Cricetulus griseus: one gene and its partners. The protein of the gene in region 2 purifies or fractionates together with the protein of the main gene of each other region. This does not show direct contact. Links are inferred from orthologs where the notes say so. Each region holds a gene or a part of one and is shown on either strand. Other genes may lie near its edges. The genes, in order: Lsm12, Atxn2 and Pabpc4.

The links.
Region 1: the proteins of Atxn2 (region 2) and Lsm12 purify together in Homo sapiens (affinity purification with mass spectrometry; 4 studies listed by BioGRID and IntAct, with this or other methods). This does not show direct contact. The link is inferred for Cricetulus griseus from reciprocal best matches to the Homo sapiens genes ATXN2 and LSM12.
Region 3: the proteins of Atxn2 (region 2) and Pabpc4 purify together in Homo sapiens (affinity purification with mass spectrometry; 4 studies listed by BioGRID and IntAct, with this or other methods). This does not show direct contact. The link is inferred for Cricetulus griseus from reciprocal best matches to the Homo sapiens genes ATXN2 and PABPC4.

Annotation. Positions count from the first base shown.
Region 1 is NC_048600.1:115,913,794-115,921,689, reverse strand, and holds the start of Lsm12 (protein LSM12 homolog), read right to left. Parts: upstream 5,296-7,896; 5' UTR 5,212-5,295; coding exon 5,088-5,211; intron 3,174-5,087; coding exon 3,040-3,173; intron 1-3,039. UniProt on the Homo sapiens protein: Nicotinic acid adenine dinucleotide phosphate (NAADP) binding protein. Confers NAADP sensitivity to the two pore channel complex (TPCs) by acting as TPC accessory protein necessary for NAADP-evoked Ca(2+) release.
Region 2 is NC_048597.1:101,659,095-101,666,415, reverse strand, and holds the end of Atxn2 (ataxin-2), read right to left. Parts: intron 6,649-7,321; coding exon 6,503-6,648; intron 5,783-6,502; coding exon 5,555-5,782; intron 3,835-5,554; coding exon 3,666-3,834; intron 2,855-3,665; coding exon 2,826-2,854; coding exon of another isoform or gene 2,747-2,825; 3' UTR 2,432-2,746; downstream 1-2,431. UniProt on the Homo sapiens protein: Involved in EGFR trafficking, acting as negative regulator of endocytic EGFR internalization at the plasma membrane.
Region 3 is NC_048595.1:29,710,693-29,718,013, forward strand, and holds part of Pabpc4 (polyadenylate-binding protein 4), read right to left. Parts: coding exon 7,289-7,321; intron 4,257-7,288; coding exon 4,063-4,256; intron 2,083-4,062; coding exon 1,967-2,082; intron 857-1,966; coding exon 717-856; intron 397-716; coding exon 302-396; intron 1-301.

The DNA of each region.
Region 1 (7,896 bases), on a different chromosome or scaffold from region 2:
TAAAGGAGAAGGGCAAGGCGGGGTGAGTGGGTATTACTATTGGTCACTTTTTTTGACTAATGTAAGAGTCAAAAGGTGTGACTTAGGGTTCCCATAAATCAACATAAAAGATTAAACTATCCTAAACATCTAAAGTGTCAGACCCAAAAAGTCCAATGTAGTGGCTTTCAAAGTCGTTTTTAGTTTGTGGGTTTTTGTTTTGTTTTGTGGGTTTTTTTTTTTTTTTTTTTTTTTTTGTTTTGTTTTGTTTTGCTTGGCTTGGTTTTCTTGTTTTTTTTTTTTTTCCGAGACCAGGTTTCTATGTGTAGCCCTAGGTGTCCTGGAACTCGCTCTGAAGACCAGGCTGGCCTCGAAATCAGAGATCCACCTACCTCTGCCTCCCAAGTGCTGGAATTAAAGGTGTGAGCTACCACATCTGGGTTATGGCTTTCAATTTTTGGGGGAGAGGGGGGGTTCCAAGACAGGGTTTCTTTGTAGCTTTGGAGCCTGTCCTGTAACTCACTCTGTAATCAGGCTGGCCTCAAATTCACAGAGATCTGTAACATAAAATAATATAAACCCAGAGGCAGATTTTAGGTTTAAAACTGAAGATCAGATAAACAAAACAGCCAAATCACCAGAGAGCTCTTCTTACCTCTACCAAGGCTGGGGCAATCCTGTCCTCATCGTGGCTGGAGACTAATTGTCCAAGACTGAATGCCAGCTCTGAGACCCTGCTCCTGCTCCTGTCTTATATACTTCTCTAGTGCTGGAATTAAAGGCATGAGCTCTGTTTCTCTTTTCAAATGCTTCACTCTCATGTAGCCCTGGGTGGCCTTGAACTCAGAGATCCATCTACCTCTGTCTCCTGAGTCCTCAGATTAAAAGTGTGTGCCACCACTGCCTGACCTCTCTATGGATATGGCTAGCTTTGCTTCTCTGACCTTCAGGAAAGTTTTATTAGATAATAAACAATACATCACCAGAGATCAGACAGCCTCTGGCTCCCAAGTGCTGGGATTAAGGCATGCACCACCACCGCCCACCTATGAATCTCTTCTCTTAAAAGTATGAAGCACTCCTAAATCTTCACCCATTATGCACTATCCACATCACATAACTCCAGGTCAGTGGGCAACACCCCTTATAAACCGCATGGACTCTAGGTTTAAAAAAGGGGTGAGGGCCAGGCAGCAGTGGCACATGCTTTTAATCCCAGCACTCAGGAGGCAGAGGCAGGTGGATCTGAGCAGAGGCCAGCCTGGTCTACAGAGTGAGTTCCCAAGACAGCCAAGGCTGTATTATTACATACAGAAACCCTGTCTTGAAACTACCCCCCCAAAAAAGAAGGAAAAAAAGGGGGGGTGGTTATTGGGAAAGAGGGTTGGGAGATGGATCAGTTGAAGTGCTTGCCACACAAACAGGAGGCCACGAGTTCAATTCCTAGGACCCAAATAAAAGGCTGGCTTTAGACTATCTGCTTTGGGGAGGAGAGACAAACAGAACTCTGGAGTTCTCTGGCCAACCAGTCTGGCTGAATCAGTGAGTGCCAGGTTCAATTAGACCAGGTCTCAAAAAATAAAACTAAAAGTGAAACAGGAAGAAATCCCATGTCAACCTCTATTCACAGTCCTCTTTATGAAGGGCAAACACAAGCTCTCAACCCTACTTGAGTATTAAGATTAAGCTAGGAAGGGGCTAGGTGAGATGCTTTAGTGGTTACGAGCATTTGATGCTGTTCCAGAGGATCCGAGCATCCCTATCAGATGGCTCACAGCTGCCTGTCACTCCAGCTCCATGGATACAATGCCCTCTTCTGGCCTCTTCAGGCACTTGAACACATACAGCATACACATTGACATACACAGAGAATAGGTTGGGCATAATGGCATAGGCCTTTAATCCAAACCCTTGAGAGAGGCAGAGGCAGGTGGATCTCCATGGGTACAGGGCCAGAATGGTCTATATGGGCAAGCTCCAAACCAACCAGGGATACATACATAGTGAGCCGTGTCTCAAAATAATAAACAAGTCAATAAATAAATAATTATTATTTGTATACTGTTCCAATCTAGAATTTCCTATGTAGACCAGACTGGCCTTGAATTTACAGCAATCCTCTTGCCTCTGCATCCTGCATGCAGGGACTACAACCATGCTCAACTTTCAAGTCATGTGTACTTTTTTCCCTTTGTGACAGGTCTCATATATTCCAGGCTGGCCTCAAACTCACAGAGCTCTGCCTGCCTCTGCCTCCCGAGTGCTGGAATTAAAGGTGCTCGCCATCAACACCTGGGGACCTTCAACTTCTGAACCTCCTGTGTCTACCTCCCAAGTACTGAGATTGCAGGCATGCACCACCCAAGTTAAAGGTATTTCTTTTTCCTTTCTTTTTTATTTGTTTTTTATTTCTTTATTTATTTGTTTTTTGAGGTAGCTTCTCTGTGTAGCTTTGGACTCTGTCCTGGAACTCACTCTGTAAACCAGGCTGGCCTCCCAAACTTAGAGACCCAAAGTTATTTCTTAAGGTGCAACAAAGATATTCAGAAATAAAGGGAACAAATTATACAAATATACTTTAGAAAAGATAACAAGCCAGGCAATTTTAACACTTAAGAGGTGTAGTCAGGAAGATCTGAGTTTAAAGTCATTATCACAAAGTATACAGAACAAGTTCAAGGCCAGCCTAGGCTACGTGAAACCCTGTCTCATATAAGCCACCAAAGAAAGGCCGGGGAAGGCGCTCAGCTGGCAGAGTGCTTGCCTAGCAGGCAGGAGGGCCTGTGTTTGATCCCCACATCACAGAAACCATTTGTGGTAGCACATGCCTATTATAATCCCAGCACTGTCCTGGAGACAGTCAGGAAAATCTGAAGTTCAAAGCCGTCCTTGGCTATATATTAAGTTCAAAGTTAGCATGGGATATATGAGTACCTCCTCAAATGGGAAAAAGAACAAGCAGTCCCTGCCCCTCCCCAAGAAAAAAAAAACAGAATAAGCAATGTATATATCACAAAAAGTCAGTGTTTTAGACAGCTAGAACTGCCCTTGAAACCTTACCTTACTAACATTAAGTGATGCTAGTGGAGGAGGGGTTTCTGTTCGATCATTAATTATTTCCACTTCAGAAACATACTGTAAGTTTATAAGCAAGATGTCTGCGTGGTTGGGCTTTCCACTGGAAGAGGGACATTCTGGTGAGAAAATAAAGTTAAGGAAAATAGGACAAAGGCACATCTCATGAGTATAGAAAGAAATACAAGCTTATAGAAAAGACAAGCAAGCCCCATTAAGTGCTTACTCTCTTCCCCCATTACCTTGCTTCTGCCCAAAGACATAACCAGAAGATCTCAAGCTTTTCAAAGCCATAAACAGGCAGAAACTGAAAGTCTCAAAAAGGTTTCTGTCACTTCTCTCCATGGGTTTAATGGAGAGAAATGCAGCTTTAACGCCATGTGCACAGTTTGTGTTGAACTTAGGAGCCAGAGAGGAGTCTGTGCTTTCAGGTTTGGGGTTAACATTCAAATGTCTCCTGTATCTACAGGGTGCTTCTTGCTTGTTTAGATTTCACGTTCTTTCTTTTTTCAGTTTCTTTTTCCCCACTAGTGATGTTCCCATTTTTCAAAGGCAAAAACTACACCATCGGGAAGGAAACTACCCAAAATGACACCTAGTTCATTCATCCATCCATTCATTTTCCAACCATTTACTAAGACCCTTCTGTGTGCCAGATAAAAGGAGACTAAGTCTTTTTTCTAAGACTCTTCCAACTAAGCCACTAAAGAAAGAGGTTTTAGGCCAACTATGATCTCTTGTTTTTAAAATAACACAAGATAAAGGGACTGCTCTTGTAATTAGTTTATGAAAAAATCTATCTGAGCTAGCAATTGACAACTCATGACTAATTAAAAGGCAGCAGACTTCCCAAGAAACTTCACTTTAAACCGAGTAGTGGTGGCACACACCTTTAATCCCAGCACTCACAAGGCAGAGGTAGGCGGATCTCTGTGAGTTCAAGGCCAGCCTGGTCTACAGTGAGCTCCAGGACAGGCTCCAAAGCTACACAGAGAAACCCTGTCTTGAAAGAAAAATAAACAAAAGAAACTTCATTTTAAAGACAGAGGCTACCTTCGCCTAAAAATAAATAAATAAATAATTCAAGTAAGCCCACCTGTAGCTCAAATAAAGGGGGAAGTAGTGCTACATTTATTCCAACCAGGAAGTGTTTTGTTTTCCAACAGTGAGTTTGCTGGAGTAATTCAGAAATCATTTCCACCCCAAGGGAGCAGGGCCACCTCTTCCATGCAGTGTCACATTGGTACTTTAAAAAAGGAGGACATTTTGCTATGTATCGAACTGAACACTGACATACATAAACCCCTGAAAAACGGGGCAAGTCCTCCCTGGACCAGGCTTCCAATTCCAACACCCCCTAAACAGCAATTTTCAAATGACTGAGAACCTCAAAATCACCACACACACATCCCCCCCCCCACACACACACACACAATGACACCAAGCATACACGACTCTAGCAGAATCAGCCACCAGCACAGAATACGAAATTCTGTCCTGCACTTCCTACCCGCAAACTGGCAAGGGCCATTTGGTCACCATCCCACCGCCCTTTCTTGAACCCAATCTCATCAGCAGACAGCCCACTCCTGAAGTCCAGACCCTTGCCCTACCAGCAGTCCCTGACCCTACACACCCCTCCCCGTAGCATTTTACCGCTCCCCACTTCATCCGGGCTCCAATCGGCAGCCCCCGTCCCCACCAAGACCCCCTCCTCCTTCAATCACTGAGACCCCTGCCCACACCGTTCCCTCCCCAAGAGCCACCCCGCGTGTCAAGCCCCGCTCCACCCACCAACCCTCGACTGGGGCCCGGCTCTCACAAGCGGTGGGAGACAAGGGTCCCCCAAGTGGACCGAAAGGCCCGCGGGAGGGGGAGGGGAGCTCGGGGCCGTGCGCATGCGCCCGGGGCGACGCGGTAGCCGGTCGCCCCTAGGCCGGGAGAGGGCCCTAGCTGCCGCCGCCGTCCCCCGCCCCCCACCACCGCACCTACACGCCGGCCCGGCCCTGGGGGGTCCACGCAGGGAAGGATACTCAGAGCCAGCATTTTGGACTGGTAGTCGAAGGCCACCACCTCGCCCTGCAGCCGCTGCTCCTGGCACGTCCGGCACGACACCTGGCTCCCAACGCTGAAATACTCGCCCGGAGGAGCCGCCATCTTGGGAGAGCAGCCGCGGGCGGCGGCGGCGGCGGCAGCAGCGGGCGAAAGCCGGGCCCCCAGCAAGCGCCGCGCCGCGACGCACGGGGCGTGCTGACGTCACGCGCCGGGGCGTGGTCTGGTGCTGGGTGGGGCGGGAGCCTAGGTGGAAGAGGGAACAGGAAATAAAGGGCAGTGTTGAGAATACCGTGAAAATGTTTGTGTGGCCGCCTGGCTGCTTGGTTAGGTGCTTGCAGGGTTCTTTTGAAAGTCAGGAAGAAGATAAATAGACGTAGAGGATAAATAACCTCTACGAAAGGAACGAAAAGGAAAAAAGGGAGGCAGCTGGAGTCTCTGCTAAGCCCACACCTTGCACAAAAACGTTTAATGAATGAACTCAATAAAATATTGTCCTCACTTGCATACGAAGAACTAGAAGCTCAGAGGACTTGACAAGACTCATTCAAAATTATAACTAATTACAAAGTAATTATGCAAAAAACAGCTGTAAAGTTAGGCAAACTAGAATCTAAGGCCATTTATGAAATATTCTGACCCTAAACTATCAAACCTGTCTGTGTTTCTTCAGTAAGATCTAAATACAACTTATTGAGCTTCCAGCAGCCCTGCAAGGCGGAAATCAATATCCTTATTTTACAGGTGAAGAAATGAAGTCTTAAACTTGTAATAGTCATACAACTGGCAAAGCCATGGTTTTGAATCTAACAAAGATGCTCTTGACTACTGGTCTATATATAATAGATAGCAACACTTGCCTCATAAGGCAGCTAGGAGGCTTAAGTGAGATAATGCATATATGCATGACATACAGGATCTAAATAAGTAAGTTACCCCATGGTCACCTGTCATATTTGGAACACAGAGCATTCCTGTCTCCCTGCTTGCCCTCTGTCCCAGAAAGCCAGGTAAAAAAGGAGCAGCAGCTCTGGAATGTAGCTCAGTCATATAGCATATACCCATTCTCAAGGTCTTGGGTTCAAGTCTCAGTCAGCACCACTAAAAACCAGGAAAAATAAAAAGGACAGAGGGAAAGTTCAGAACAAGCAACAGTTATAATGACAAAGCGTTTTGAAAGGACCTGCCCCTGCCCCCCAACAATATCCATCTTATATACAATACTTCACTGACCTTATGGAAGGGACAGCCTGGATGTACTTTTTTGTTTGCTTTGTTTTTTTGTTTTTCAAGACAAGGTTTCTTGTGTAGCAGCTCTGGCTGTCCTGGAACTCACTCTGTAGACTAGGCCATACACATGCTCTTTTTTTTGTTTGTTGGTTTTGTTTTGTATTTTTCTAGACAGGGTTTCTCTGTAGCCTGTCCTGGAACTCCGATTTGTAGACCAGGCTGGCCTTGAACTCAGAGAGATCCGGCTGCCTCTGCCTCCAGAGTTGCTGGGATTAAAGGCGTGTGACACCAACGCCCAGCTGCACATGCACTTTTAAAATTCTCACCACCAACTGCAATCCTTCATCCACCCAACCCATCATATAAAAATGTGAGAAACAGGTTGACCTTTCTCTACTTTAGAGGGAGGCCGAGGGCCAGATTTGGCACTACTGGTGAGCCTGAACAAAGTTCAAGTGTTTCCTTGTGCTCCAACAGGCAAAAACTTCCTTGTGTTGGAGGCATTGGTACAATCATTATAATAGGAATAAAAGTTCTCCCCCATGCTTATGCCTTTCTCAGGGGAGTGTTGTGTCTTTCTGCTCTGGCTCCATAACAAGTCATCCGAAACTCCACTTCTCCAGGGGAGGAGGAGGGAGTGTTGGGGTTAAACCCAGGGCCTTGTACCACCACTAAGCTACATCCTCAGTCCTGACTCTGCTTTGTATGACATTGTAATTAGTCTTCTGCTTTCCTCCACTGTACGCTTCAAACTCTGAAAGAAGGAATATCTACATAGAACATTGTTTTCCATTCATACGATAACAAGTTCAAGTTTGTTAGGCCCAGTAAGGGCTTAACATTTTCTTTCTTTTTTCTTTTTCTTTTTTTTTTTTCTTTTTCTTTTTTTGGTTTTTTTGAGGCAGGGAAATTTCTCTGTGGCTTTGGAAGCTGTCCTGGAACTAGATTTTGCAGACCAGGCTGGTCTCGAACTCACAGAGATCCGCCTGCCTCTGCCTCCCGAGTGCTGGGATTAAAGGCGTGTGCCACCAACGCCCGGCTAATGAATTCCAGGTTTGTTTTTTGTTGTTGGTTTTTTTGTTTTTTTGTTTGTTTTTGTAACAGGGTTTCTCTGTGTAGCTTTGGAGCCTATCCAGGCACTCGATCTGGAGACCAGGCTGACCTTGAACTCACAGAGATCCGCCTGCCTCTGCCTCCCTAGAGCTGGGATTAAAGGCGTGTGCCACCAACGCCAGAGCTTAACATTTTCTAATTAAAATAGAATAATGTTAACAGTATATCATAATAAAAGTTTCATGAGTGTGGTCTCTCTGTTTCAAATATCTTTCAGGACTTTCACCACTCACTTAAAGGAAACTTCTCTATGACATTTCTGAATCACCACATCACTCATTGGGTCATCATTAAGTAAAATAAGAATTACTTGAACACAAGTACTGCAATTCCAAGAGTTGATCTCACTATCAAGATGTCTAATTGACTAATGGGTTAAATAGCATATATAGCACAGATTTTAGACAAAGGGATAGTACACATCCCAGGCTGGATGGAGAAAGATAG
Region 2 (7,321 bases):
CACTGTCCTCCCTAATGTAGAGAATGAAGTGTGTCACCCTTTCAGGGAAATCCAGGCAGCTTGCAGAGAGAGGAGGGTGGCAAGGGGCATTCTATCCCCAGTGCCTTATGCATAAAAAAACAGGACTCTGGTTTACAGCAGCTTTATATAGAGGATGTGATAGACAGGTCGGGGAAAGACAAGCACAAATGCAAAGGTGCCTGGGCCTGTGTAGTGAACCCAAATTTATAGCTTGCCCCCCACCAAGAATTAATGACTTATTGAGTATGGCTCCGTTTTGATCCAAAAGGAAGTTGGCACCATGAAATTCCTGCAACAGCTCAAAGTAAGTGTTCTGTCCAAGGTGGCAGCAGGGTGGAAGGGTATGTTCCTGTACATACAACTAATAGGGTCTATACTGGTCTGGCCTTTTCCAGGTGACACAGCTCACAGGGGCTAGAAAGTGGCTGCTCCTGAGCTCAAAGGTGCGGGTCATACAGACTTTGGGTTCACAGCTGTGGCAGTAGGAAGTCACAATTTAATTCAGAGGCAGATATGCTGATACCCTTCTCACCTGGTTACCCTCTACTGTGCAAGCTTGTGTGGCCCTTAGTGGATGGGGGTGGGAAGAGCAGCCAACTGTGCTTAATCTTGCAACACACCATTGTGTTCACAGAGCAAGGCACATCCCACATAGGTGCAGATTTGTGTTCCATCTTTAAGAGAACTAGCTTTCCTTCATTTTCCATAAAAAGTATGAGCCAAAGATAAAAGCAATATTCAGCCACTGGTCCAGACTCCTCTAAGCTATGTAGTCCTGGAAAGGGGCTGATTGGACGATTGTATCTCTGTCTATACAAACTAGGGGCATTCATTTCTCCTGGGTTCATCAGACAAACATCTCTCAGTAGAGGGGAGACTGGCCACACACTGTAAACCAGCACCTCTGCCGCACCATGGTTGGAGAAGCTTCCTTTCAAAAGGTGTATTTTATGACAGTCTTCTCATGGCTCTGGAATAGAGTGGCACTAAGCTATCACCTTTTCTTTCTGCTACAGTAGGTCCAATTGGCTGAAGGGGAATAGGTGGCTTAATGAGGTCCAGGCAAGATGCCTTCACCAGTGTCATTACCAGGCAGGCACCATTCCCACCCCCAGTATTCCTGACAGACCACCACTGGCAGGTGAGGCCACACTAGGCACAGTGTGAGTTGGCCCTATAGAGACTCCCTGCACCATTGCTTCCTTCTGACTACAACTATACACTAACAGCCACCAGCACCAAAGAATCGAGTCAGCTAACCTGCCTTGACTTTAGACCAGCAGTCCATATGGCTTTATCTGATAGAACTCTTCCTTCTGCCTTTGATCATTTCTGAACCCTAGGAAAAAGGAATAGTGACCATTAACAATTTTGGGCCAGATAACACTATTTTTCAGAAGTTTCTTAACCTAAAAGGAGGCTCATCTCTTCCCTGAGGGCTCTTGTTCAAATGTTACCTTAGTGCAAACATCAAGTCACTTGTCATCTACTGCCTCCTAATGGAGATGCATCTAACAGCCAGTGTGTAAGGCTGGAATAAGCATTGTGACAACAGGAAGAAGGGATTTCATCTTCTATCATTACAGGCAGAAGGTATTTGGCAAATCTTTGTTTTATGTACTGTATGAGTAACTTATTCTTGAATAATGCAGATTTTGCTACAGTGTACAAATTGCTATATGTGAATTAAAAAGGTTTTCAGAATTAACGACCATGATCTCTGCAACACCAACCCCCTCTCCACTTACCTTTCCCCTATAGCAGACAGTTCTGTTCTTCTGGCTTTCCTGTTCTCTGAATCCCTTCCCAGCTCCCCTAGGGATAGAACCAGCGCTCTGTGCTATTAGCAAGCACTCAGCTACCAAGGACACACCTCCAGACTGGTAAAGAAGTTATAACTCTCCTGCCCCCTGCTGGTAATACAGGCCTGAACTGTGGATCAATAGTGGTTTGGTTAAGTCTGGAGATAGGAAAAAAGAAGTATAGATACAGACTTTTGATGGTCCCCCCACCTCTGGCCAGCCTTCCACTAATTCACCCAAGAGGGTTTCTCAGTCTTGACTTTTTCTAGATATCTTGAGCCAGATGAAGGTGAAAAAGAAGTCACTGATTAGCACCTCATCCAATAGGAGCCTGGAACAGTACACCTAGCCTGCCTGTCCAGGGTCTGCACCCCACAGCAGCAGGAGTCGCCACAAACACACACTAACTGGGTATCAGTTTTTAAAACTTTTTTTATTTTTTAATTTTTTTTTTAGTTTTTATTTTATATTATCTACAAAGTAAAAGTTTTCCCTTAACTTAAAAGTTGAACCACTGTAGACAGTGATTGCCTCATCAAACTTGATTTATAAATAATAATCCGTCAGTTTGGCGGTAAGAATTTACTGAACTTCTGTCAAGTTTAGTAAAAGGGCGTTCCAAGTCTTGATTTTTTTTTTTTTTTTAAAGCGGTAATAGCAGCAAGAATCACTCTTGTTACTTCTTTTGCTAGCTGATGCGTTCATGACTCTCAAGGGCCATTAAAAAATAAATAACTTCCAGTTTCAGCAAGCAGAGCTGGGTACTTGCGGGACCCTGCAACAGCACATGGAATTATGGAACAGCCACAAGTCCCTACATGCCTCTACTCGGTCCAAAACATCCTCCACTGCAAGTGAACTGTTAGCATTCCTATCGGATGTTAAATCAGTGTATTTTTTTAAAAAACAAAATAAATGAACTTCTAGTTTTCTGTGCTTCCAGTTGGTAGAAGCAGTAGAAGGGAGGAGGGAATTTGGCCTTTCGGTTCCTCCAGGGCAGCCTTACAACTGCTGTTGGTGGTGGGCTTGTACTGTAAAAAAGAAAAGTGGCTATTTAAACAGAACACAGGCACCACTGCCCACCAACCTAGTGTCTGCAGCACATGACTGTCATCTACTCTCCTGCTGAGTAACACTGGAGGTTTAATGCTAGCGCCCCTCTCCCCCCAGCTGCAGCCAAGGTGGGGTTGGGGAGGGAAGGGGGTGAGGAGAAACAAACCAGTCAGACGTGAAACCACTTCAGATACAAGTCCTGGACTTGCTGCTTGTGGGGCAGGAGCACAGGCCTTCAAACCCCCTCCCACTAATGCTAGCCAAGCACCAATACTTTCCAAGTCACAGGGGAGACAGGTATTGCCACAGCAGCCATCCAGTACGAGACATCATGGGTGTCCTGTGTCAGGGCACAGGCTGGGGCTAAAACTACACTCAATCCAGTCCGCACACAGCTCATCAGTGTTCTCCAAGCTACAATCAAAGTCGGCCATGGGTATAAACCCCCCACATCAGCCTATAGGGACTCAGGAAGGAACACGCTTGCCCTGTCCAGCCTGTCATACATAACCAGGAAGGCCAACTGAGTCCTCGGCATGCATCAGCTACCCAGAATGAGGCTGCTGCTTCTCAAGCCAACCCTGATACCAGCAGAACACACACAGACTCAGCTCCAGAGGCCCTGAGCCCTGATGCTCCCTGACCATCACAATCCCTCCTGCAAACACTTGGACGGGCCTTATTAGTCAGGTTTGGAGCCTGAAACACTCACTGGTCCTGCCTGCCATTCTACCTGTGCGAGCAGAATGCTCGGGGTGCCCCGGCGGCCCCTGCACACACACGCCTCACCTGAAGGGTGCGTCATATAGGGGAAATGCGCTGTTGTCGAGACTGGAATGGGCTGTAGTGCACTTTGAGCGAGGGCGGCCTGGGGACCGCCGGGTGGCTGTGTCGTCATTAGCATCATTGGCGCATGGGCAGTTGGATGAGAAGGAACCATTCCTGACTGTACATGAGCCTGAAACAGAGAGCTCTTTTACGCATACAGGCAACATCTCCGTCTTAAACAACAAGTCAACTGTTCCTTTCATTGGACTGGGACTCAAGAAGGGGCAAGATGGACTCCTTGAGGCAGATCCTGTAGGGTTGGGATGGGAAAGTTGGCCACATCTTCCTAGTCCCCAGTGCCTGCTCACAGATTATCACACAGGGCAAGGTCTTCACCAAGAGCAGGCCTCTATTGGGGCGGGAGGGGCACATACTTAACTTGCTATGGCATGGAGCCAAATACATCAATGCCCTTTTCAAGTCAGAAAGCAACTGACAAGGAAGGGCCTGTGAGGAGACTACCTCCCCAGCACCCATAGCAGCTTCCTGAGTCTCTCCTCTTCCGCCCTCCCCAAGTCGTGATGGGTTCCCCAGAAACAATGAAGCAGCACTTAGGCCCCTCAATGTAATAGCTTGGCTGATGGAGCAAAGGGTGCAGTTAATGGCTCCAATGAGATGAGAATGATCTGAAGTTGGGTCAGCCTGGTGTCCTGTACCAAGTGGCAACAAGTCTAACTTAGAAAAGTGATGTTGGTTGACCGGTTGGTGAGCTCGACCTCAGCTCTGCAGGGAGTGGGCAGAGCAGGAAGAGGCTGCTTCCTGCCTCCCATCGTGTGCATTGCTCTAGACCATCACCCCAGCGAAGTGCTGGTTCACACCTTCAAACAGGCCCATGGTTCTCTGTTTTCCCTATGTTAAGCCTCTTACCCTTCTACACAAACACACAATTGAGGTTTGGGGATAGCCCATCTTAAAGTAAATTCGCAGCCTCTGCTAGACACTTACAGGACCCTGGCTCTCTTAAGTTTCACTCCACCAAAGCACACTGACCAAACTGGCTCCCCTCCCAACTGTCACCAGCCAATCAACAGGAGTATATACTACAGACCCTTAGCTCTGGGGAAAGAACACCTAGTAACAAACTAGCCTTCTGCAAGAGACCCAACTGCACAGCATCCCTAGCTCACACCTTGCCAGAGCCTCACTGGCGCACTGTGACAGGAAATGGAGTCATTCAGTAAACCTAAGTGAGACCCGCCTCAGGCAGCTACAATCAAAGTAGCAGAGACACCTGATGCAGCCACCTCACACTAAGAGCCATGGAGGCCTCCCCTGGCCCTGGGCTGCCCTGGAGCTTCAGTTACACTGCACCATAGTCCAAGGCCAAGCGCTCAGGAAGCACAACACAGGATTGCAGCAGATAGAGGGTAACCAGGCAAACAACTGAGACCCGTCCCGGAATTCGTGTGTCTAACATTCAAGCTAACAGGCCTAGTGCAGTCACCTCAGAGAGCTGAGAACCATTGAAAGCCTGCCTGCCATCCCTTCCGGGCTCCCATGTGTGCATGTGTAGAGGTGTCTGTGTGTGGACACATAGACACATAGTGGTTAAGCTAGAAAGACGGAGCAAAGCAGACACAGAAAGGAAAGGACTGGGGTGCATTCCAGACTCAGAGTTTTAAGGTCTCAGCTGGGAATTGCTAAGTCACAATTTCACTGATCCCATCACAAAATCATAGCAACATTCACTGAGGGCCAGAAGATCACATACTAAGCAGGGAGGGGGAGACAGGCAGATGGCACCACACATAGGGTTTCCTGGCTTGGGGAGCATCTGGCTCCTTGCTGCTTATCTGACAACCACCACACCCTACGTGGCCTTCACAGAAACTTGGCTAGTGCTGGTTTACCTGAGGTACGTGGGCCATGTGGGGAGGGGTGGTATATGCCGGCTGAACATGAGAAGGGTGGATGGTGAAGACCGTCTGTTGTGCTGCTGGGAAACTGCTCTGTGGAGACTGTGTATTGGAAGCAGGTGTCATGGAAGGTGGGGTTGGTGCCAGCCCCGCGTGGTAAATGGCTGACTGCTGCTGTGGACTGGCCAGATGAAGAGCTTGGGCGGCTTGATGTTGATGGTGCTGCAAAGCAATGGGAAACTTCTTTACTGAGAAGTCATTAGGGTCAGAGCTTCACACACTGAAGGCAGCAGAAGCCCCACCCAACTCTAGCCATGCCCAGGAGATGCAGGGAGAAGAGCATCATGGGCATCTCTTGTCCAGATGGTCTTTTCTGGGTTCTCAAGCCCAAGTCTCAGCCTGGCAGTTACAGGTACAAACAAGCAGAGGTGGAACAACCGACAAGATGTCAGGCTGTCAACTGCCCCACTAGCTAATATGACTAAAGAAGCCAACAGGCAGCTGGGCAGTGGTGGCCAAGCCTTTAATCCCAGCACTTGGGAGGCAGAGGCAGAGGCAGATCTCTGTGAGTTTGAGGCCAGTGTGGTCTACAAAATGAGTTCCAAGACACTCAGGACTATTACACAGAGAAACCATCTTGGGGGAAAAAAAAAGCAGCAGCCAATAGGAAAGCAGCATTATTGAGTGGCTTCAGGAATGAAATTCCAGACAGTACTTTAGCTTAAAGTTCTTTGTTAAGTCTAAAGTAGCTTTTCCACACTCATGTTTCCGGCATTTACCCCGAGGGTACGGCTTACTTGACATTTTCAAGCCCTCCCCTGAACCCACAACTACCTGCAGCTACATAAGGATGGCTGTCTCATATGTCCTGATCACACAGAGACGTGTAAGTAGCAGGGACAAGGAAGCAGCTGTGCATGCACAGGCCACGGCTCTTCTTACCTGAACAGGACTGGGTGCAGGATGATTTCCACCATGCTGGCTTTGTTGCTGTCCAGTGGGAGTGGCCGAAGGCTGAGGATGGGGCGTATGTGGATGCAGGGTGGCATTAGGATGTGCATACTGCTGAGCAAGGGAGCCCGTGGAAACTAAGGCAAAAGGAAAAGGAATGTATACAATTGATACATGCTGATGACCAATCCCAGCCCAATCCCAAAGCTTCACTGAATGCTTTCACAACCACTACAATCTAACCCATGCCACTGGCATTCTCTGCATCCATTTACATCAGGCAGACTGGAAAATAGACATAAGGGCTCTGCTTAACAAGGTCAGCATTAACTCACATGTTACAGCTCTGCACATTACATCAACATTGAGTTAATTTGAGTTTACTCAAAATAATCCTATTTCTTTTGGAGGGCAGAAACAACTCCAAAAATCACTCTGGCTCACATGAAGACAGGTACAGCCTCTCTCTCTCTCAAGGCCATCATTTGGCTACACTCACCATGCTACTGTCCTACAGTCTCAGTGCCCACATTAGTGAAGCTAGGGGCAAGGACAAGGTCATTGCCATGTCAGTCACAGCATCCATTCCACTCCTGATTCCTACTGAGGAGCTCCTAATTAAGCCTGGAGATGAAACTGCCCACCCCATCCTGTTCACTAGAATAACAAAGGAAACATGATGACCCTATTAAAATGTGATCACAAAGACAAAAGACCCAGGGGCAGGTTTTTATCCATCTAGTATGGGCCCCACCTTGGTACCAAACAAGATGAAGTATTAGGCAAACCTGTGCCTTCACAACAGCAGGC
Region 3 (7,321 bases), on a different chromosome or scaffold from region 2:
CCCCCTCCTGCGCCCGTGCATTTGTATGGGCAGATGCCCTGATCTAGCAAAGGGGCTTTTCAGGCCCCTTTGCAGGCAGAAGTTCAACTTTGGAGGCTTCAATTTCCCTACCCAAGAATGGGTACCTGTCCCAATCTTTCAACAGTAGGAGGTGACAGGTATGAGCAAATGCTGGGTGATGTAACTGTGGACTGGACTGCATCTGTGCTGATGACATGGACCACTACGCAGCCACTCACTGGGCTCTACCGTGAACTAGGTACCGCCTACAGGTTCTTCCCGACACTCACAGTACACTCACCTTATTTGCATCCTCGTGTTTTTCGTAACTTACAAAGCCAAAGCCTTTGGATTTCCCACTGGGATCTCTCATCACCTTGACACTTAAAGTTTTACCTATTACCAAAGGACAGAACTATTAGTGACACCATCTCTACCACATCCCAAGACTTCTTGTTAGTAACTCAGCTGAAGGAATCTCTGGCTGAGCCCAGATAGGTCTGAGGCAGGAAGAGGTAAAACTCAACCAAGCATCTAGGATAACCTCAACAGACGGAGCTAAGATAGAGCCAAGAGAAAAAAAAAAAAAAAAAAAAAAAAAGGCCTGGACTATTCATTCACCCTCTGACGCTAAGTGTCCTGTTTCTTTAAGTAAAAAACAGGTTATTTCTTGAGCTGATGGTCAGTACAAGATGACACTACAGACCTCAACTTACCAAACTGGCTGAATAGCTCTTTCAGATTATCATCATCCACTTCCTCCCCAAAGTTTTTGATATAAACATTGGTGAATTCCTTGGCCTTGGCCCCGAGCTCAGCTTCCCGCTCTTTGCGAGACTTGAATCTGCCCACAAACCTACAAAGAAACCGTGAACAGTGATTAGTTACTCAGAAGGAACAAACATCATTTCCAGGGGCCCAAAGGAATGCAGGTTAAAGGCTGACAGGAGAGGTTAAGACATGAGGACCCCATCCACCATGAGAACAAGCTCAGATGCCCCAAGTCCCCAGCAGAAAAAGAAAGAGGCAGGACTATCCTGCAAGGACCAGTCCCAGGGCTCCTGGTTCAGACCAGGGCCACTCCTACCACATCACACTGCCTTCGTGAAGAAACCTGACGACCATGTTTTTAAAACGTTCATTTCTGTGCATCTATGTAAATGCATAGAAAATGTCTGGAAGGATACAAACCAAACTGTTAACAGTGGTTAGTCTAGCAGTGAGAGTCCTGCGATTGGAGGTAACCCTTGCTTTCCCGTTGTGTTCCCCTGACAGGAAAATATCTCCACACCCCACACACAGACATAAACACAGCCTTGTACATTCCATACCACAAAGGACAGAAGTAATTGTTGCTTGTAATAGCCCTTATGTAACACTACTTTCGATTTCCCCCACAAGGTTCAGCTAAGTTCTGTCCCCACCCCACAGTAATGACAAGATGTTATACAGTGTCTCTGCAAAGGGATGGTTTTTCACTGTATGCAAACTAAGCATACAGTGAAACAGAATTGCAGCTCAGAGGAAGAAGAACTAATTTGGTGCCAAAAACTAGCAAAAGACCCACGGGCAGACCTGAGTCAAAGGAAAGCCAAGGTCACATAGCTAGTATCCAGCTCCTGGTCAGCCCAGGGCCTCTCCACTCTGCCGCTGGCCAAGACCCCTGCTCAGAGTGGGCTCAGAGCTGTCCCAGCCCCGGTTGCTGATGCTCACAAAACCCACAGGTGAATTTCCTCCAAGGGAGAGGCAGCAGGCAGGCCATGGCTCGGGCAGGGAGCCGACTGTGGCGAGTCAAAAGGGCTGCCATGGCTCGGGCAGGGAGACTCACCAGCCCTGGAGTGGAGAGGTAGGAGCAGGCCACACTTGGGCCGAGAGAACCAGCAGCCGCCTTGTGTGTGCCAGTTAATACCGAGGTGGGGCCATGGCTGGCTCATGCGATGGCTGTCCTCCAGACTGGGACACTCACACTTTGCGGTCATTGAGGAGCATGCCATTCATCTTCTCGATGGCCTTGTCAGCAGCCTCTTGGGTCTCGAAGTGGACAAAGGCATAACCCTTAGAGCCATTCTCATCACAAACCACCTGTTGAAGAAAAGGCAGACCACCTGAGCATCACTGCCTGTCGCACCAGCCGGGAGCTAACATTGCACAGCTCCACTTACAAATGGTTAGCCTGTGCCTAACCCAAATCAATCATGTTTGTGGGGGGTAGGTCAACCCAGCTGGTTCTTTTAGGATACAGGGTCTCCCATCAGTCTGGAACTCCTGATTGGGTCAGGCTGGCTGACATGCAAGCCCCAGGAATTCTGTGTCAGCCTCCCCAGTACTGGTATTATACAAGCATGCCCCCACGTCCACTTTTTATGTGGACAAACTCAGATCCCTTCTTGTATAGCCAGTACTTTACCAAATGAGTTTCCTGCTGAGCCCAGGCTTTTTTCAAATTCACTTTTTTTTTCTAGATCTGGCAGAGTGTGGTGACATGCTTGTAATCCCAGCACGTGGGGATAGGCCACAGCTCAGATGAGGTTCAAGGTCATCCACAGTACATGTGATATTTTGGAGCCCAGCCTAGATTATGAGATCCAGCCTCAGAAAAGAAAGTGTATGTGTGTTTATGTGGTTTCACTGGGTAAAGGTGCTTACCACCAAAACTACAGCCCCAAGTTCATTCCCTGGGATCCACAAGGTGGAGCAAACTGACTCTTGTTAACCATCCTCTGACCTCCATGAGCACACCCACACCGTGATACAATTTGTTTATAAATAAATAAAATTTAACTCAGAGAGAAGATAGGGAAGGCTAGAGACTGGCTCAGCAGCAGAGCACCTGAACAACATTGGCCAGGCCCTGGGTTCAACTATCAGCCAACAAAATGGGGGAAAAACAAACCCAGGAGATCTGGGTACAAACCAAAGTGCTCAGAAAGACAAACTGTATCCCAAGCCTACAAAAGAATTTAAGTCACCATGTGAAGGTTACAGAATACAGTTAACTAATGCCTCTAAGATTTAAGTAAGGGTTTCTGGAAACAACGGGCTTATGTCCTCTCCTCTCCCTTATCCAAGCTTCTAAAAGTAGGTAACAAAGTGGTATGTGTATGAGTGCTCATGAAGAATAAAGACACAAAAGCACCTGCAAGGCACTAGAGCTCATCTGACAGAGTGCTAGCCCAGAATGCCAAGTCCCGAGCACACATTTGTCATCTTAGCATCTGGGAGCTAGAAACATGACAACCAGAAGTTCAAAAGCCAAGCTGAGCTATATGTATCCCCATCTCAAAACAAAAAATTTCCAGGTTACATGAGGCTGTGGCTGGGATTATCTACAAGTCCTTTATTGAAGCCCCTATTCCCAGAGCGGGAGCCAGCTTGGTGGATGAGCATTTGCCTAATGGAAGACCTCTCATAACAGCTATTCAGGATGTGGAGACTCATGACAATCAAAAGCTCAAGGCCAGACTAGGCAACCTGGTGAGATCTCAAAAAAAAAAAAAAAAAAAAGAGGGCTGGGGATAAAGCTTGCTGGACCCCAGAGGCTTTATACAGAGATGGGGGAGTTGTGAGCAACTGTAATGAAATGCACTGGGTTGCGCACGCGCCCCCCCCCACTCACACAGAGAACAGCAGTAGGTTTGTTAAGAACTAGGGATAGGACTATGGGAGCAAGCTAAGAGAAAGCAATGGGGATATACCCATCAAGAGTATTACGTATAGGCATAAAAATTTCACAATGAAAACATTACCTGTCACTAACATGTGCTAATAAAAAACACGTCAGTGGTAGAACACATGCCTTACATGCATGAGGCCCCAAGCTCAAACCCCAGGACTAAAGGAGGGAGACATTCCATTTCCAGCATTTAAGAAATTATCATACCCAATTGTCCAAGGTACCTTCCCTTTGATAGTACCTTGTTTTGAGTCTTTCTAAACCCCAAACTGGCCTTGAACTCCCAAGATAGCTCCTATCACAGTCTTGAGAGTATACCACACCCAGCTTTAATATTTATCTCATTTTCAAGATGCAGTAATTATTTAGTTAAAATAATTAACGTTTACCTTACAGGACAGGATGTTTCCAAAGGCTGAAAAAGTATCATAAAGTGCCTTGTTGTCTATAGATTTATCCAGGTTCTTGATGAAGACATTCCCTACACCAGACTTTCTCAAAGAGGGATCCCTCTGAGACCACATGATCCGGATTGGCTTTCCCTTAATCACATCGAAGTTCATGGTGTCCAAGGCTCTCTCAGCTGTAGAAGAGGAACATATTTTAATTAAGAATGCTAAACATCAACTAAGATGACTGTCACCATTCCAGAAAGATCACTGAACCGTTACTACCTAAGAAAAAGAAAAGGTACCAAAGTGGCTCTGGGCACCAAGGTCCTCACCATGGACTAAGCTCATGTTCAAGGGACTTTATACCCACCAATGACCACCTTGACACAGGTGAGGAGTCAAAATAGTCATGTTCAGGGCAACTAAGCCAGGTGGTTCATTAGTAAATAGAAACTTAACTAGAGACTCAAGTACAATTTTTTATGTTTTCTTCTTGAGGCAGGGTCTCTAGCTCTGGCTGTCCTGGAACCCACTTACAGACCATCAAACTCAGAGAGCCACCAGCCACTGCCTAAGTTGTGGGATTAAGAGAATGTGCCACCACACATTTTTTGTACAAAAAGTCTCTTAACTAAATGGAAGTGTGCTCAGCATTGCTGTGGCAGGGTAAACCGGCACACCTTTATCTGAGGGCACAGACAGTACAGACAGGCCCTGAGGCCTTGTGGTGCCCAGACCTTTCAAAGGTTTAATCAGAATTCTCGGAACCCTAGGAATTCAGCTGTCTTTCCTTCTGGTAGGTCAGGGAGCTGCCCAACCACACCCACCAGGTACCACAGAGGCACAGTGAAGGACCAAAGATAAACCTCAGCACAGGAAGATCACTCGTTGGAGTTCAGCCTGGGCTACATGAGATTCCCCAGTCCTATCAAAAAACAAAAAAAGTCGGGGCTGGAGAGATGGCTCAGGGGTTAAGAGCGCTGCCCGTTCTTCCAGAGGTCCCGAGTTCAATTCCCAGCAACCACATGGTGGCTTCCAATCATCTGTAATGTAGTCTGATGCCCACTTCTGGACTGCAGGGTTACATGCAGACAGAACACTGTATACACAATAAATAAATAAACCTATCTTAAAAAACAAAAAACAAAACAAAAAGTCAAAGTAGGCGGCTGGATGCAGAGCTCTTAATCCCAGCAGTTCTGTGTAAATTTCCCCCCAAATGAAAACATTCCATCCTGAGAAAAAGCTCCTTAAGCAGGAAGGTAAATAAACAATTCAAAAATAGCTTCAGGAAGTCCCTGAAACTGATCAGATTCACTAGGGCACTCCCTGCCCCACCCCTCCAAAAAAATGCTGAGCTGCCAAGATGCTCAAGAGAAAAGCCATAAAAACTGTTACAGTAGATCAGCCACCTAGAAAAAGCAGAAACCAGCCAAGCAGCCTGGAAGAGGGTTAGACAGCCTGAAAGGGACACTCTACAGCCTGTTGAGCTGCCTGAAGTCTATGCAGTGTGCTTGCTCCAGGTTCCCAGCTTTGTGAGCTATCACACACTGGGGTGGGCTCAGGCAATGTAGCTGTCTCAGGCACATTTCTGTAAGTAACCACAATAAAACTCACTGGTTTGTGGTGGGCTTCACTGGTATCCATACTTTGATCTGTCATGGGCCCTTATCTGGGGTGAGCAGATATGTGTGCTGCACAACAAAGGCCAGCCTGGTCTACATTAAGTAGTGTGTTCTAGGACAGCCAGGATCACAGAGACCCTGTTCTCAAAAACAAAAAAAAAAAAAAAAAAAGCGAGTTGGCCAGGCGTTGGTGGTGCACGCCTTTAATCCCAGCACTTGGGAGGCAGAGGCGGGCAGATCTCTGTGAAGTTCGAGGCCAGCCTGGTCTACAGAGTGAACACCAGGATAGGCTCCAAAGTTACATAGAGACCCTGTCTCAAAAACAACAAAAAAAGCAGGCAAGCCTATTTCTCACCTTACCCTTCTGACTTCAAAGAAGGACAAGGACTAGCAGTAAGCCTAGTAGTGGGGCAACTGCCCAATACAGCCAAGACCCTGGGTCTCTTTAGCATTGCAAAGAAATCAATCAGCCAAGTCAGATCAGTGAAAGTCAAGTAGAAGCTTGCCCCTAAGTCTGCAAACTTAAAACTATCCCATGATATTAGCAGTTAAGGAGCCCATCCCAACACAATTCCTGATCTATTTCAGACAACACCAGTGGAGCTGGTAAGCCGACAAATCGGGCTGCGCTTATTTATAGCCGGGAGAAGTCCTACAGTGGTATGTGTTGGCACACATACTGACCAATGGCTTCTGCTATCTCTAAGAGACACAACTTGTTCAGAAGCCAAAAGAGCAGGCAACAGCTAAGGGACTCCATCACTCCCCCACTAAAAAAGTTCCCCTTTGACACCCTGGTGGTCGAGTATGAGTACTAGTCTCTATATACTGGATAGAAATACCCATGTCAAGCACACCAATTCCCTGGCCTCAGCTGCAACCTGCCTCGTGGACAGTGAACACAAAACAAGGGAATGGCTGGTGAGGCAATTAACTGCCGGGTAGACTCCAGTGACACCTCCCTAGATTACCCAGGTACCATTCTCCACAGCCTACAGCTTCACCCAGAGCTGAGAAAAGCCCCCAAAACAGTGTGGCAAATGACAGGGGGGTGGGGGACTGGCCTGGTAGAAGCTGCTGGTGACACTAGCAAAGCCTCAAGGCTACGTCAGGAAATTGCTTCCCACTACCCTACAGCCATCCCTAATCAACACAAAATCAAGACTCAGTCCAGGTTAAGGGGCCGGAAGGGCCGGCAGCTTTGCAACCTACACTTTGGAGGGTGCTGCTTCAATCCATTGAGAGCCAGTCCATGCCAGGGTCTATAACAGACCCACTTCTACTTGAGTGGGACTAGACACTACAACAGCCCAGTCACTTTATCCAGATCCCAATTTACACAGTCTCCTGGATTCCAACCCCCACCCCAGTAGCCCAAGGTCATCAGGTTAGCAAGTGGTGGAAGCAAGTCTGGAAGCCGGGGTCATGACCACATGCTCTGCTCTCAACCACTACCCACTATACCTTGATTCCCGTATGGCTTCTCTGGCAACATGCTGTCACGTTCCTCCCCAGCCAGCCCTTGCCAGTTCGGCCTCCGCTACAGGACTCCTAAGGTCCCCTGGAATCTCCCGACTGTAGACACCGCTGCTACTCACCATCAGCTGGCTGCTGGAAGTTGACGTAGGCAT